Diceros bicornis minor: one gene and its partner. The protein of the gene in region 2 interacts with the protein of the main gene of each other region in a pairwise test. Links are inferred from orthologs where the notes say so. Each region holds a gene or a part of one and is shown on either strand. Other genes may lie near its edges.

Evidence for each region.
Region 1: the proteins of TECR (region 2) and HACD2 interact in binary tests that used the Homo sapiens proteins (3 or more experiments, as listed by UniProt). The link is inferred for Diceros bicornis minor from reciprocal best matches to the Homo sapiens genes TECR and HACD2.

What each region holds. Positions count from the first base shown.
Region 1 is NC_080754.1:24,640,644-24,648,674, forward strand, and holds the start of HACD2 (very-long-chain (3R)-3-hydroxyacyl-CoA dehydratase 2), read right to left. Parts: upstream 3,110-8,031; 5' UTR 3,078-3,109; coding exon 2,923-3,077; intron 1-2,922. UniProt on the Homo sapiens protein: Catalyzes the third of the very long-chain fatty acids (VLCFA) elongation four-step cycle (condensation, reduction, dehydration, and reduction).
Region 2 is NC_080769.1:3,349,443-3,357,114, forward strand, and holds the start of TECR (very-long-chain enoyl-CoA reductase), read right to left. Parts: upstream 3,062-7,672; 5' UTR 3,047-3,061; coding exon 2,867-3,046; intron 2,240-2,866; coding exon 2,188-2,239; intron 1,858-2,187; coding exon 1,813-1,857; intron 1,717-1,812; coding exon 1,613-1,716; intron 1,539-1,612; coding exon 1,423-1,538; intron 1,346-1,422; coding exon 1,240-1,345; intron 1,108-1,239; coding exon 1,035-1,107; intron 933-1,034; coding exon 889-932; intron 818-888; coding exon 760-817; intron 673-759; coding exon 584-672; intron 238-583; coding exon 192-237; intron 117-191; coding exon 1-116. UniProt on the Homo sapiens protein: Involved in both the production of very long-chain fatty acids for sphingolipid synthesis and the degradation of the sphingosine moiety in sphingolipids through the sphingosine 1-phosphate metabolic pathway.

The DNA.
Region 1 (8,031 bases), on a different chromosome or scaffold from region 2:
ATCAATTCAGTAAAGAAAGTCAGACCAATACAAAATACAAAACAGGGAAGCACTTAGGCATATCACAGTGAACATTATATTTCTGTTCTATGTCCCTCTCAAAAATAAATTTCTCAGGCCCTGTAATTTTTTATTTGTTAAGTTCCATAATGAAACGAATGGACCTTTATTATTAAGGTATCTCTCCTTGAAAGCAGCGATCGATTTACATAAATGTACAATCTCAACTAGGTAATGGGGTAGGTGGTCTATGTTATTTGTAGAAACTATCATCTAAGGACATCAAATAAATGTTTATTAAAAGAGAAATGATTCCTTAATGGTGTAACTGGTCCAGAATTAGCAGCCTACAAAAAAGCTTACTTTACTCTCACAATCCCAATTTCTCTTCCTGGTTTCAGATACCTCCACCCCACTCTCTATGTTCATCACCCAGGAATAAAGACCTTTTTCCTTCTTCCCCAGTGTAACTTAACACCTCTTTCCAGTCCAATAGTCTCATCAACACCCTTGCTGAGCTAAGAATTTTATGTATAAGTATAAATACACACACTCCTGAATGTTCTTTTAAAAAATCACTCTGTGACCATTTATGTGATAAAGAAACTTGCATCTGTAATACATATCTTCACTGGCCTGTGAGTCAAGAGAAAAAGGTTCTAGATCCAGATCTCCTATAGTAGTAGTTCCCCCCTTATCCTCCGTTTCTTTTCCACAGTTTCCGTTACCTGTGGTCAATCTCAGTTTGAAAATATTAAATGGAAAATTCCAGAAATAAACAATTCATAAGTTTTAAATCCTGTGCCGTTCTGAGTAGCCTGATGAAATCTCTCGTGGTCCTGCTCCGTGTCCCCCAAGGACGTGAATCTTCCCTTTGTCCAGCGGATACACGCATGTACCGGCCCCTTAGTCACTTAGTACCCTCTGGGTTATCAGATCCACTGTAGTGGTACTGCAGTGCTTGTGTTCAGGTAACCCTATTTCACTTAATAATGGCCCCAAAGTGCAACAGCAGTGAAGCTGGCAATTCGGAAACGCTAAAGAGGAGCCATAAAGTGCTTCCTTTAAGTGAAAAGGTGAGAGTTCTTGACTTAATGAGGAAAGAAAAAAATCGTATGCTGACGTTGCTAAGGTCTACAGTAACTTTTATTACAATATATTGTTATAATTGTTCTACTTTATTATTAGTCATTGTTAATCTTTTATCATGCCTAATTTATGAATTTAACTTTATCATAGATATAATGTATGGGGAAAAACAGTAACATATAGGGTTTGGTACTATCTGTGGTTTCAGGCACCCACTGGGGGACCTGGAACGTATTCCTTGAGGATAAGGGGGGCCTACTGTACTTTCTGTGACATCAAGCAGGTCACAACTTCTCTGAGCCTAGGTTTCAACACCCGCCATTTCTAATACTAGCAATAAAGCCTATGATCCTCCTAAGATATTTTTTTGTGAAAAAACAAGGTGCTGAAACGCTAGTATGACATTAGCATTTGTGTTTTAAAAAAAGGGGAGGGGGTGGGGGAATGTATATATTTGCTTGTATCAGCATCTGAAGGATACACAAAATGAGTGCCCCCATGGAGGGGATCTGGGTGGAAGGGAAGGGTGAGAGGAGAGTTTCACTGTACATTTTTGTGTATATTTTGAATTTTGCAGCCTGCCAATGAAGTACCTATTTAAAAAATAAAACATGGGGCCGGCCCGGTGGCGCAAGCGGTTAAGTGCGCGCGCTCCGCTGCGGCGGCCCGGGGTTCGCTGGTTCGGATCCCGGGTGCGCACCGACGCACTGCTTGGCAAGCCATGCTGTGGCGGCGTCCCATGTAAAAAGTGGAGGAAGATGGGCACAGATGTTACCAGGGCCGTCTTCCTCAGCAAAAAAAGAGGAGGATTGGCGAATGTTAGCACAGGGCTGATCTTCCTCACAAAAAAAAAAAAAAATAAAAAAAAAAAATAAAACAGATGCCCACTATACAGTTCTTTCGACTTTTCTGCATGTTTAAAAATTTTCATAATAAAATTGTAGGGCTAATTTTTTTTTACAAATGAATGTCATTCAAAAATACATAACAAATAGTCTGATTCTGTGGTCCTCCTCACCAAAACCATGGGCTCAAAGAACCGGAAGAAGCTTAGAGATCACCTAACCCAAACTCCTTAGTTTTACAGATGAAAAAACGGAGACCATGAAAAATAAAGTGATTTATCCAAGGTCACACAGCTAGTTAGTGTTAAAACTAGAACTAAAAACCCTCTGTGACAAAGGATGAAGGGCAATGAGGGGGAACAAGAGGGGGTAAAACCCGTTTCGAGGGTCTATTTCCCTGCTCCCCAGTAACTCTGCCTTCCACCCCCAGTATCTTCTTCACCCCAATCCATCCTAAAAAGTCTAAACTCATCTAAAGCACAGCCCTGCTCACGTCACTGGTCAAAAACTTTGAACGTTTTTCCATTACCTTCCAGATTAAAGTTCAACCTGGCTTTTGAAAACAGCCGCCTAAACAAATGGTCACTCTGCAGCCACAGCTTCCTCCACTCCCCTTGGGGGAAGAGCTCGCCATGCGTGACACGCCGCCTGGGCTCTCCTCTGCGCTGCAGGATCGCCCGGCCCCCAAACCTGGCCCTGTGGCCAGCCCAGCCGCCCTCCCAAGGCCCTCCAGACCAGCGCCCGGGCCGCCTTCCCCGTGCCCCCCGGAGCCCCCGACTCCAGCTCGGCGCACGCCCGCGCCTGTGAACTTGCTCGGCCACCCGCGCAGGCAGGCGTCCTGGGCAGGCACCGGGGCCGATTCAGCGCTCGCTGCCCGCAGCGCCCGGGTGCCGGGTCCCGCACACGCCCCGGCAGGGATGCGCTGCACGCGGGCCGGGCCGGGCCGCCCCGCCGGCCGCAGAGCCCCCTCCCCGAGCCCCAGCCTCACCCCGCCGTCATCACCACATTGTAGATGACTAGGTACGCCGTGGCCAGAGGCCCTGGGCCTTTCTTCTTCCGCGCGCCGCCAGCTTCGCCGGCCCCGGCCCGGCCTCCGCCGCCCCCATTCCCCTTCGCTGCTGCAGTCGCCGCCCCTGCCGCCATGTCAAGCGTCCGGAGCCCGCTCTCCCCGCGCGAGCATCACCGCTCGGACACGGCGCTGCGAGGCGGCGAAAGGAGAACGGGGGAAGGCGGGGCCGCGGCCGCGGGGCGGAGCCAGGGACAGCGCCCACGGCGGCCGCCATCTTGGAGGAGGGCAAAGGCGCTCCTGTCGCTTCCCGCCCCTCGGCGCGCCTCACACGCCACCGCCATCTTGGATCGGGGTCATCATCGCCTCTTTTGCGCTCCCGGTAATAACCTCTGGCGCCATCTTGGATTAGGTCAGTGTCGCCTTTGGCTTTCTTCGCCAGGCCTGCTGTTTCTGCCAAGTGGATGCTTCGTCGTCCCTGGCCATTCTCTCTCCTGTAACCTCCGCCTCCATGTTGGATCAAGAAAATGATGCTTTCGTTCTCGCTTCTCATCTTGGCTTCTCCCAATGGCCCTATCTTCACCCCTATACACGTGATCTGCTATTTTGCGTCAGGGCAATTGACGACTTCGCTTCTCGTCAACCCCAGAGGCCGGCCGGGAATAGCCCTTCTGCTTTGTGCGCTCTGCTCCTTAACCAGTGGCCAGGTTGAAGGTTCAGTCTCCAAAGGTTTCGTCCCTGCATTTATGCATTTAGATTTTAAGTTAGTAGTAGAGTGGAGAAGGTCAACGAGAAGTTTGCCCCTTTTACTGTCCGATTAAAGTCGCCTGTGTGCCTAGGATCCAGTGTCATCCGTGAGGCCTGGAGGGTGCTCAAGGGCATCTTCCAGCCCGAGGCCTCGTGGGCTCCCCCGTCCAGCAGGCAGGACCAGGGTGAGGTTATTAGGCAGTCGGCTGAGGGTGAGGTGCCGAGTGGAGCAAGAAGTTTTCCACCCACAGTGGCCAAAAATAGAGAGATTTTGGCTTACGGGGAAAACCTGTCTGCCTGTGGAAACTGCTTTAACCAGCTGACCCTATTTTCCATTCACTGTTTTTTTTTGTTCTAGGAGTTTCTGTAAAAGTCCCTTACCGTCGATTTTCACACAAACATTTCCTTAAATGAATTACTGTATATGTGGTGGTATAAAATATTTATTTATTCATTCCATCAAGTATTTATGGGACGTCTGCAAGCTTGCCCTGGAGTTCTTGGCGCCAAATGAAAGAGACAAGTCCTCCGTCTCCCAGAGATTATATAGAGGGAGCCAGAAGAAAATAAATATGTATTAGTTGTGGAAAACTGATATCAGGAAGTTATTGCAATAATCCAGGCTGTAGTGATAGTGGTCTGGGCCGGAGTGGTCTTGCTTGAGGTGGTGAAAACAATTGAATTCTGGACATATTTTAGGAGTAGAGCTGATAAGATTTGTGGATGTATTAGATGTGGAGTATGAGGTAAAGGAGACATTGTGAGCAAGTTGGAAAAATTGAATTGTAGAAGTGATTTTTTTTTTTTTAGTGAGGAAAATTAACGCTGAGCTAACCTCCCTGGCCAGTCCTCCTCTTTTTCCTGAGGAACATTGGCCCTGAGCTAACATTTGTGCCCATCTTCCATTATTTTATACGTGGGACGCCTGCCACAGCATGGCTTGATAAGAGGTGTACAGGTCTGTGGCAGGCATCTGAACCTGCAAACCCTGGGCTGCCAAAAGTGAAGCACGTGAACTTAACTGCTACACCACCAGACTGGCGCCCTAGAAGAAGCGATTTTGAAGACAGAAATCAGCAATTTTGTTTTTTACTTGTTGAGTTTGAAATCTTTGTTAGACATCCAAGTAGAAAAGTTGAATAGACAATTAGATTTAGACACTGAAGTTCAGGGAAGAAGTGTGGACTAGAGATAAATTTGAGAGTCATCAGGGTGGTGATGGTATTTAGAGCCATGAGACATCTACAGATTGAGACAGCAACTAAACAACTGTCAGGGTCTCATCCTCTACAGCCCCACAGATTGTGTAGAGGTTCTGTTGTCTGATTTTCCTTACTTCTTTAAAGAGCAAGTTAGTGTACTCAAATTGCAGACTGTATTCAGAGGGAAAACAATTTACAAAAGAAATAAAGAAGTGAGCGGTTTTGCAGAGCAAGTAATCACTCCTCTAAAAGCGTTTTTCATTCATTTAATGATTTTTTTTTTTTAATATGACCACTTAATGGGAAAGTAGGAGGCAGGAATGCATAAAGCTCTGTCAGTTGGAAATCAATTTAAAACTCAATGTATCTTCTTACAGTCACTTAGGCCCAACTCCAATCTGTCCTCTACAGTACAGTCACAAATACAAACTTGTTCGTGTCCACTATCTTCCCTCTCCCCACCCCCTTGAAACATTTAAGTGGCTTTTAATGACACCTAAGATAAAGTATAAAATATTTAACGTGGCCTACAATAATGTGCCTGGTCTTGCCCCTACCTACTTCAGTCTCACGTCACACAATACTCTCCCTAGACATACTGGTTTTATCTTAGGTCTTCCAGTGAGCAATGCTCCTTTCTGCCATGAGGACGTTGAACATGTTATTGCCTCTGCCTAGAACAATCTCCATCCCTATCTTCCTCCTTCTGATCTAAATTCTGCTATCACTTTCCCTGAACTTCTGTAATGGATTATTCTCCCTGCTATGGTCTCCATGTACTTTTTCTCATCACATATACCACAGTAATTTTATATTTTTTTGTGTGATGTTTTTTCTCCTCTAGACTACGAGTTTTATAAAACAGGAATAGTGGTATTTTCTCGGTGGTGGTGGTTTGTTTGAGTTGTTTATGTTTGTGTTTTTCCCCCTCATTGCCTGACACGTTGCCTGGCAACATGACACAGTCATTAATCATGGTTTCTCTAGCAAAAGTAATTATTTTAAGACTTAGGACTATGATGACGCAAGCAGAGCTCATCAGAGTCCTTCTGTGAAATTGATATATGGATGCTGGGGTGTAGTGTTTGTCTTTTTGCCAGGGTTGTTAAAGATAAGAGGATGTGCGCCTGGCTCCAGACAAACATCTTGCCTTCCGTTTGGAGAGAGATTGTTAATAGAAAGAAATCAAGCAGACATGAGAGGGAGCATGTGTCTTGGGGGCACTGAGTCTTGGTTCTAGTCCCTGAGCCTGGTACCTAATGCTTTTCCTTCGATTTTGAGGATTATCTCATTATTTTTCCCAGCAAGTAAGTCAGTACATTCCTTTTGCTTAATCAAGTGGTCCCAGAACAAAAACCATGTCTCCTTCCCATTTGTTCTGACAAAAGTCCTGGAAAGTAATCGCACTAGCTTGAGTCACATGCCCGTGGTCAATCATTGTGGCCAAAGGGGATAGAATATGCTGGTTGGCCAGGTCCTTGTTGTATACCTATAGTGGGAGGAGGGAGGCTTTACCTAAACTGCTTGATTTGAGTTTATACATCCCCCCCAATTAGGGGGATGTAGTTCCTCAGGAAGTAATAAGGGAGTTATTACCAGAAGAAGGGGATGGATATTGGGCAGGTATGGTAGGCTGAAAAATGTTCCCTCTAATGATATTGATGTCAAATATCTGTGAATGTTACCATATTTGGAAAAAGGGTCTTTGCAGATATATTTAAATTAAAGATCTTGAGATGAGAAGATAATACTGGATTATCCAGATGGGCCCTAAATGCAATCACATATATCCTTATAAAATAGACACAGAGGAGGAGGCAATGCGACCATGGAGGCAGAGACTGGAGTGATGCCACCACGAATCGAGGAATGATGACAGCCACTGGAACGTGAAAGATACAGAAAATGAATTCTCCCTTAGAGCCTCCAGAGGCAGTGCAGACTTGTCAATACCTTGATCTCAGACTTCTGAGAATGGTGAGAGAACAAATATGTTTTAAGCCACCTAGTTTGTGATAATTTGTTACAGCAGCCACAGAAAACTAATACAGCAGGTTAAAACAACAGATACTGAATGCATATTATCTGCTTCCAAGTATCTTACAGTCTCATATGAGGAGAGTAGCTACATTCAAAGAACAACTGAGGACGCTGAGCAGGTTAGAGAGATCCAAGTAAACAGCCTATCTGAGGACTGCGCAGCAGTTATTGTTGTGAGAGGAGAGAAGTCAGGAAGAGCTTATCGAAGAAGTGTCTTGAACATAATCATAAAGAAAGTAAGGGATGTGTTATCAAAAGGTAGAAAGTCGTTAAAGTGAGGGGAGATAAAAGGTAAGAAATGTAATAGGACACAGCCATGTCTACAGAAGTCTAACCAGGGTGAGGTGATAAAAATGAGTTTATATAAATAGTTGGGCCTTGAGTGCTAAACTGGAGAAGTTAAATTTGAACTAAGACGTGATAATGAATCAGGTTCTTAAATATAGTTATAGGTTGAAGATATTATCTGAAAAGAAAAATCAACTCCCATGTGTTAGTTTCCTATTGCCGCTGTAACAAATTACCATAAATTTAGTGGCTTGAAACAACAGGAATTTATTCTCTAACAGTTCTGTACATCAGAAGTCCAAAATGATTCTTTCAGGAATAAAATCAAGGTGTTGGCAGGGCTGGTCCTTCTGGAGGCTCCAAAGGAGAATCCATTCTTTTTTATTTTTATTTATTTTTATTTTTTATTTTTATGTTTTTGTGAGGAGATCAGCCCTGTGCTAACATCTGCCAATTGTCCTTTTTTTTTTTTTTTTGCTGAGGAAGACTGGCCTTGTGCTAACATCCATGCCCATCTTCCTCCACTTTATATGGGATGCTGCCACAGCATGGTTTGCCAACAAGCAGTGTGTCGGTGCGCACCCGGGATCCGAACCAGTGAACTCTGGGCCACCGCAGCAGAGCGCATGTGCTTAACTGCTTGCGCCACTGGGCCGGCCCCGAGAATCTATTCTTTACCTCTTCCAGCTTCTAGAAGTTGCTGGCATTCCTTGGCTCACAGTCGCATCACTCCGATCTCTGCTTCTGTTGTCGGAATGCTTTCTCTGATTTTGACTCTCTGGCTTCTGTTTTATAACAGCCTTGTGATTACACT
Region 2 (7,672 bases):
GGGGATGATGGGCATGCGCAGCGGCGGGTAGTCGCGGAACTCCTTCAGGTAGCTGCAGTGCTTGCCCTTGGCCCAGATGGTCATCTGCGTGAAGCCCACCAGGGAGAAGAGGGCCACTGTGGGGCAGAGCGGGTGTCAGGGGGGCCGCGCAGCCAGCCGGGCAGGGCGTCGGGGGCGGGCAGCCAGCTCACCTGGGAGACACTGGGTCATGATAGCAAAGCCGATCCAGGACCCCACCTGCGGGCAGAGCGCGGGTGAGGGCGGGCGGGCGGCGCCCCTGTTCCCGAGGCCCCGCCCACCCCTGGGCCGCCTCCCCCAACCCTTACTTTCCGTGTGGGGGTGGGAACCGAAGGCCAGTGCTAGAGGGACCTCGAATAAGGGGGTCCGTGATGAAGCTGCCCCTCGGCCGCCAACAGCTGTACGCCGAGCCTGACGCCCCCCAACCCCCAGGGAGCTGCAGACTCTGCATCGCCAGATCCTCCAAGGTCAGAGCGCAAAAGCAGCAGCGGAGCCAGGTGCCCTACCAGAGGCGGGCTCTCCACAGGGGACCCCGGGGCCGGCGGAAGGGCTGGCAGACCCTCACCTCGTAGGTGTAGTTGGGGCAGGACACCAGCAGGAAGAGCCACGTGAAGGGGTTCTTGGTGGGGTAGGGAATCTTCCTGGTCTTGGACCCTGGCGGGCAGGATGCGAGGGGTGAGACCCGCCCCCCCACAGCGCGGCCTGCCCAGCCCGACCCCCCCACCCCACCAGGCCACTCACCAGCTGGCCGCAGGTCGCGCAGGGCCATGTGGATGGAGAAGTTGCCAAGTTGGCAGATCTGTCGGAGGAGCAGCGTCAGCCGGGAGCCCCCAGACGCCCCCCACCCGTCATCTGGCCCAGCCCGCTTACCACAAAGATGGCGAGCGCTAGTTTAACCTGCTGAGCTCCATAGGCTGAAGGGGAAGCACAGGGGAGGGGAGGCCCGTGAGGGAGAGGCGGTGGCGGGGAAGGGAGGCCCGCGGGGGCGGGGGTGAGCGGGGTCGGAGGCCACTTACTGGGGGGCGTGTAGAGAGGGTGGTTGATGTAATAGGCCATCCAGGCGGCGAAGCCCCAGTAGTAAGTGCAGTTCTGAAAGGGAACAGGGCCAGGTGGAGGCCTGAGGTCCAGCGGAGGGCCCGCGGGTGCGCGGGGTTGGGGGGGCGTGTCTGGGGTCCAACAGAGGGCCGCGGGGGGCGGGGGCGGGGGCGGGCGGGCGCTCACCTTGAAGATGTTGCGCAAGGGCATGGTGCCGTGGGAGAAGCGGTGCACGAAGAGCGTCTCCAACAGGCGCTTGACGTAGTGGAATGAGTGGCAGATGCAGGCCAGGCTGTAGGGGGAGCCGGCTCAGCGGGGAGGTCCAGCAGGCCCCCCGCCGCCGCCGCCCTCCCGCCCGGCCCCACTCACTGCACCACCGTGTGCCTGCTGGACGTGAAGTCGTATCTGTGGCCGTAGATGAAGGGCACCCGGAAGTAGAAGAGCAGGTAGATGAAAAGGGGCCCCGCGTACTCTGTCAGGAAGACCTGGGGGCAGGGGAGCAGGGAGTTACCCTGATGTGGCTGATGGCAGAGGAGGCCAGGGCGGGGGTGGGACTCACCGTCACCCAGCTGATCTGGGCCCCCAGGTCCCGGAAGTAAAGTGTGGCCGTGGTGCCCACAGGCAGCTTCTGCAGGACATCCTCGTCCTTCAGGGACTTGCCCTCTGTGGAGAGGCAGGCCAGGGTTCAGGGGCGTCCAGGCCTCCGCCCACTGCCCCCGGGGGGGGGCCCAGCGGCGGTGGAGGGACAGCTGTACTCACTGGGGTCCAGGCGGAGGGACTGGCGGGCAGGGTACCACTGCGGATCTGCGGGGAGAGCGGAGCATCACCGTGCACAGCCTGGCGGGGCCCAGGGACCCCCAGCTGCTCCCGGCCCCTCAGAAGACAAGGCCTGTGAGGCCTGTGTGGCTCCCGGACACAGCCCAGACGAGCAGGACAAAGGCAGGTGCTGCCCTTCCCAAAGCCCAGCAAGGGCATTCCTGCCGATGGCCACACGGTGGCACCCGTCCCAGGGAAGCCGGGCCACACTGGGGCCATCTCTGCAGGCCCTGGGCAAGAGGCGGGCAGGACCGGTTCCACCCAGAGGCCCCTGCTCAGAGAGGTCGCAGGAGGCAGTGGGCTGGGCCCTGGACTTACGGCTCTTGGTGAAAAGGTTCTTGATCTCAGCAATGGTGGCCTGGGGCTCCACCTGGGGGAAGCACAGGCCACAGGGACCTCAGCCCTGGGGGGAGTCCACACCAGGATCCAGGATCCCTCCTGGAGGGCATGGACTGGGGTCAGGGCAGCTGCTACAGGAGGGGGGTGTGGGGGTCCAGGCCCCCACCTGCATGGCAGAGAGGAGCAGCAAGGCCCGTGCCAGAATGGGACAGCCGTGGGCCTGAGGGCCTGGTTTTACCAGGCAGCCAGGACGCCCCGCCTGGCTGGGAGACGGTTTGAGCACGGGAAGCGGGACCTGCATCTCTGCCTCTCCCCTCCACCCACAGCTGCCCCAGAGTAAAGGCCCTCTGTCCAGGCCAGGCCTCCCCTGGGACGGAACAAGCCCCTTCCCCTGGCCTGGCCTCGGCAGGGGCAGGTCTCAGGACGCCTCCTCCTTCCCAGGCCCCGAGGAAGCCAGCTCCCGGCCACACCCAGGGCCAGGACTGCCCACTCTACCCTGGGGGCCGACTGGCTGGGCAGGGACAGTACCCCTCATGCACCCTGAGAGGCAGGGGTGGGGAGTCATGACCCAGGGTGGAGGGACTCCCCTCTCCCTCGGGGCCAGGAGCCCCAGCAAGAGTGGGTCCCGGGCCCAGCGCAGCCAGCGCCACGGTCCCACCTTGTCCAGGAAGCACAGCTTCTCTCGCGTCTTCGCGTCCAGAATCTCCACCTCGAAGAAGAGAACAGCCTTTTTAGGCTTCTTGGCCGCCTTAGGGGGCGTGGGCCGGGGGAGGCCATTGACGCCGGGGCCGAGGCCCTGGCTGGCCTCCCGGGCCACCAAGCTCATGCTCAGATCCATGCTACCCCGCTCTGCCGGCCGTGGCCAGCGCCCCAGCTGCCGGCCGTCAGCCCCCACCACGGACCGCCCCACGCGAGCGGCTCTGGGCCGGGCTGGCGCAATCACATTCTGCCGCGGTGCTGGAGAAAAGCCCGCGCCTGCCCTGGCGCTCTGCAGACGCCACTCCAGTGGCCCAGCAGCCACGGCTAAATATAAAACTGCCCCAGACCGGGCCCCAGGACCACACACAGACCACTGGGGGCCTGGGGCAGCCCCCCAGGGCCGGATGGCCCTGAAAGTGAGGCTTTCCAGTGGACACGGCCCCCAACAGCCCCGGGGACAGGGAGATGCCCAGAGATGGGGGTGAAGGCACCTCCCAGCCCCGCTGCCCACGGGTGGGGGCCCAGTGCCAGGAGGAGGGTGAGCTGGTGAGTGTCCAGCTCAGGCCCGCAGAGCTCACTGGGCTTGGAGAAATCCCAGCTATTCTGAGAACCTGTGAGATAGAGCATCCGTTTCCCCTCCTGAGCTGTAAAAGCCACTCGGGATTACTTTCCTCGTGCATTTGTGTTTCCAGGGAGGTGACAGATTCCGGAGTTGCTGGTGCACAGAGACTCTAAGTGTGGAAAGGCTCGGGAACCCGCAAGTTTCCAGCAGACACGCCCGCCTTAGCTGGTGAGGCCTCGGCAACTTGCTCCCGACCTCCCTCTCCACCCATTTCTCACCCACGCCTTGCTCCAGGCCACCTTCAGGGCCATCCTCCCGAGTGTCAGCCCAACACAGCACCCTCATCCAGACCCTGAGCTCCTCAAAGCCCAGAGCACACAGCCTGGGCCTCCCTGCACCTCCTGGGTCCACGGGCCAGGCCAGCGCCAGGCCCTGAGAGAGGAGCCTGCCCAGCCTCTCTACCTGAGCACCCAGGCAGGGGCCAGACAGTGGGGGTGCAGAGGGGCAGTGCTGGGAGGGAGGGAGCCCCCAAGCAGGTCAGAGGAGGGGCGTGGGTGGATCACAGCAGGCCCGAGTGCCCCGTGCAGGGCTTGGCCTGGATCCTATCAGACACGGGGCTGTGGCAGGCAAGGCTGGGTCTGACCCCAAGCTAGCCTCTGGCCGGCAGGTACTGAGGACGCTCCCCACGCCCAGAGCCCCTGGGGGGCCCTCGGTCAGCGGCAGCATGGGGAGGAGGAGCAGGACACGAAAACCAGGGCTGGGCCCACCAGGGCTCTCTGAGCGCAGGCCCACTTCCCCGGCGCCCAGAGCCCCCCCGAAGGGAAGGGCTCCCCTCACACACGCCCAGGGACAGTGGGAGAGGAGGGGGTGCTGGGAGCACAGGGGGGCTCCCCGAAGCCAGCCTCGCCACGCAGTCACTTCTCTCTGAGCCTCAGCCAGGGACAGTGCGGGGAGGCGTGTGACCCCAGGGCAGTCGGGTTCCGTGAGACAGTGCGAGCGAGGCACCGGCGTGGTGCCTGACAGGTGCAAGTGCCCCAAGGCCTCGGGCCCTGAGGACGGGCTGAGGAGGCCGTGGCGCTGCGACAAAGCGCAGGGCAGGGCCGGGGGCAGACCCTCACCCTCCCGCTGGGGCCAGTCTCTGCTGCGCCCGCCCCACATTCGTGGACGGGAGGGCAGGACACGGCCCGGCACCTGAGAAGTCCTAGCCGATGCTGCCCACTGTTACCGGCGAGAGAGCGTCCGCCGCCAGCTGTGGGCCCTGACCGGCCATGTGGCCTGGGAGGCAGGCGACTGAACCCTCCGAGCCACAGGGATGACAAAGCCAAACGAGGAGCCAGAAAGGGAGAGCTGGCCATACTGCCCGGAGTTCTGGCCACACCAAGAGGACTCGTGGGAGGGGGAGGGACACACGAGGAATGTGCCAGGAAGGGCTGGGACAGCAGGTCCCAGGCGGGCACAGGGCCTGCCACGTGGCTGCAGGTATACTAATAGTTCCTGGGTCCCCTCGGGCAGCGCCCACGCCCTCGGAGCCCACGGGCCCGCAGGAGGACAGCACCAGCCGACCAGGAGAGCAGGCCCCCGAGTTCCTGCTGAACCACTCAGCAGCTTAAAATACAACCAGCCCCTCTCCGCGGTGGCCAGCTGCGGGGGGGCTGAAACCCTACCCTCTGCCCTGCCGGGACACCGCACCAGAGCCCAGAGGAGAGCAGCGCCGTCGGGGGCCCCGACCAGCCGCCGGGAGAGGACTCAGGGCGGCAGGAGGGCAGCCGGGAGAGGGGCCCTGCACCCAGGCCCGCCCGAGGCCGGAGGAGGGAGAGGAGAGGAGAGGAGAAGAGAGGAGAAGACAGGAGAGGAGCGGAGCGGCCGGCGCCCTCCCAGAGGTAAGCCCGCCCTCGGGGTGGGGGTGCCCCAGCTCAGGGCTGCCGAGGGAGAATGGGTCCTCACTTCCATTTCCTGCCCCCAAATCCCCCAAACCCCAGAGATGTCTGAAAGGCCTATGGGGAGTACCCAGGTCTCTCCATATGATTTTTGCAATTCCCTGTGCCTCTATAATTATTTCAAAATAAAAAGTTAAGTGAAAGATACGTGAGGTGGGGAAAGAAAATTACGCTAGGTGAAAGAAGCCAGACACGTATTTATGTGAAATGTCCAGAAAAGGTAAATCCAGAGAGACAGAAAGCAAATGGGTGGTTGCCAGGGGCTGGGGGTGGGAGAGAGTGGCTAACGAGGACCTGGTCTTCTTTTGGGGTGATGGAATGTTCTGGAACTAGACAGAGGTGGTGGTGGCAAAATACTGTGAATGTACCACATGCTGCTGAGCTATTCACTTTTAAAGGGTTAATTTTACATCATGTGAATTTCACATCAATAAGTTGTTTTAAATGGGGGTCTAATAAACAGGCCCCAATCATTCATTAAAAAAAAGTCCCAGGGCAGGGAGCTGCAGAGGTCCCTCCCCCACCCCCACAACTGAGGGACTAACGTGGGGGACCCCGTGTGTGCTCCCCAGTCTTCAGTCCCTGGGGTTCCCCTCCACTGCACCCTCCCTGCCCGCTGTCACCCCACGCCCTGTGCTTGCGGCGCACGCGCCCTCAGGGCCCAGGAGGGAGGTGCAGCGGCTGCTGAGCTGGGCCCCAGGTAGGGCCCTGAGCACACAAGGGCGGCGGCAGCCCCGGCCCACCCCGGGAGGCGCCGAGGGAAGGAGCAGGGACAGCCCTCCTGCCCCCTGGAGGGAAGGGCTGGGGACTGGGGAGCGATCTGTTGAACCGCCGCATGAAGTGGGGCCTGTAGGGTCGCTGGCCAGAGGTCCTGCAGGCAGGGGTGTGGCGCTGCAGCCTCAGGCACAGGGGACACAGAGGACGAGGACAAGGCGGTGCCTCTGCGATGGGAGGGTTCTCACCCAGAGGCCCGGGTTCGGGCCCAGCCAGCTGCAGCTCGTGGCAGCACGAGGTCAGGGCGGGAAGGGGGGGACTGGGGCGGGCCCAAGCCCACCCTGCAGGAGGGGCAGGGTCAGGCTGCAGCGGTCCCCAGCCCGGGGGAGCACCCGGAGCCACTGCCGAGCGGGGCCCAGGTCTTCGCTGTCTCCGTGGAAGCACAGATGCTGCAGACGGAGGGAGCGGCAGCAGGACAGGGCGCCCTCGTTCTAGCACCTGCTCCGAGCAGCGCCGGTGCCCAGAGCCCCAGGGAGGCGAGGCTCCCGGGACAGTCCCTGTCCAGCAGACGAGAAAGCCAGAGCGGTTATGCAACCGCAGGAGACACTCAGGGCCTTTGCACATGCTGCTCCCACTGCCTAGACCGCTCTCCCCAGACCCCACAGGCCCCTCCCACACCTCCTCCAGCCTTCGGATGACCCCTCAGCGGCCCTTCCCGACCATCGACTTACACAGTGCCTCTCACTGGACGTCACTCCCAAGGGGGGACTGGCCTGTTCTCAGTCGTTTCTGGCCCCCAGAACAGAGCCTGGCCAGGAGCCGTGCTCGGTGGACGCCTGCGAGAGGCACATGGGCCGGCCCCCTCAGCCCCTCCCTGGCTCCCCTTCCCCACACTCGGGAGCTACCAGGGCAGTCCCTGTCACAGGCCGGGGCCTCACCCCAGGGAAGCCTCTGTGAGGCCCGCAGACACGCCCGCCCGGCTCCGGTGACCCCATGAGGCCAGAACTCGCGCTGCCGGGCCTCCTCCCAGGCTCTGGGGCACTGCTCACTGAGGAACGGTCCGTGACTGAGCCGGCGCCGGCTCTGGTGAAGCTCGCTGCCCTTCTTCAGCAGCAATCCCAACACAGAGGGGCTCCCCGCGGCCGGGCCCTCACAGGTGGTGCCACAGGGCAGCGGCTCCCTCACGAACAGGCCTCCAGGGCCTCCTCAGCTGTGCTCACACTCCCCAGGCTCTGAGGTCAAAAAGACTCACCTACTTCCTAGCTGTGTGGCCCTGGACAAGTTACCCAAGCTCTCTGAGCCTCCATTTCCTCCTCTACAGAGTGGGCTGCCCCACCTGCCATCTCACAGGGTTACCGTAAGATTTACAGAGATGACAATAACAACAGCCCCAAAAAGTTCATAAAGGTACCCAGCCTGGAACAAATCTTACAAAGAATAAATATTACGAGACCCATACTAGCAAAACAACACTGGCAGACGCGCAAGGGGCCAGGCCCCTTCTCCCAAACCATGACCGTGACCATGAGGGCGCAACCACAGGACGCCAAGG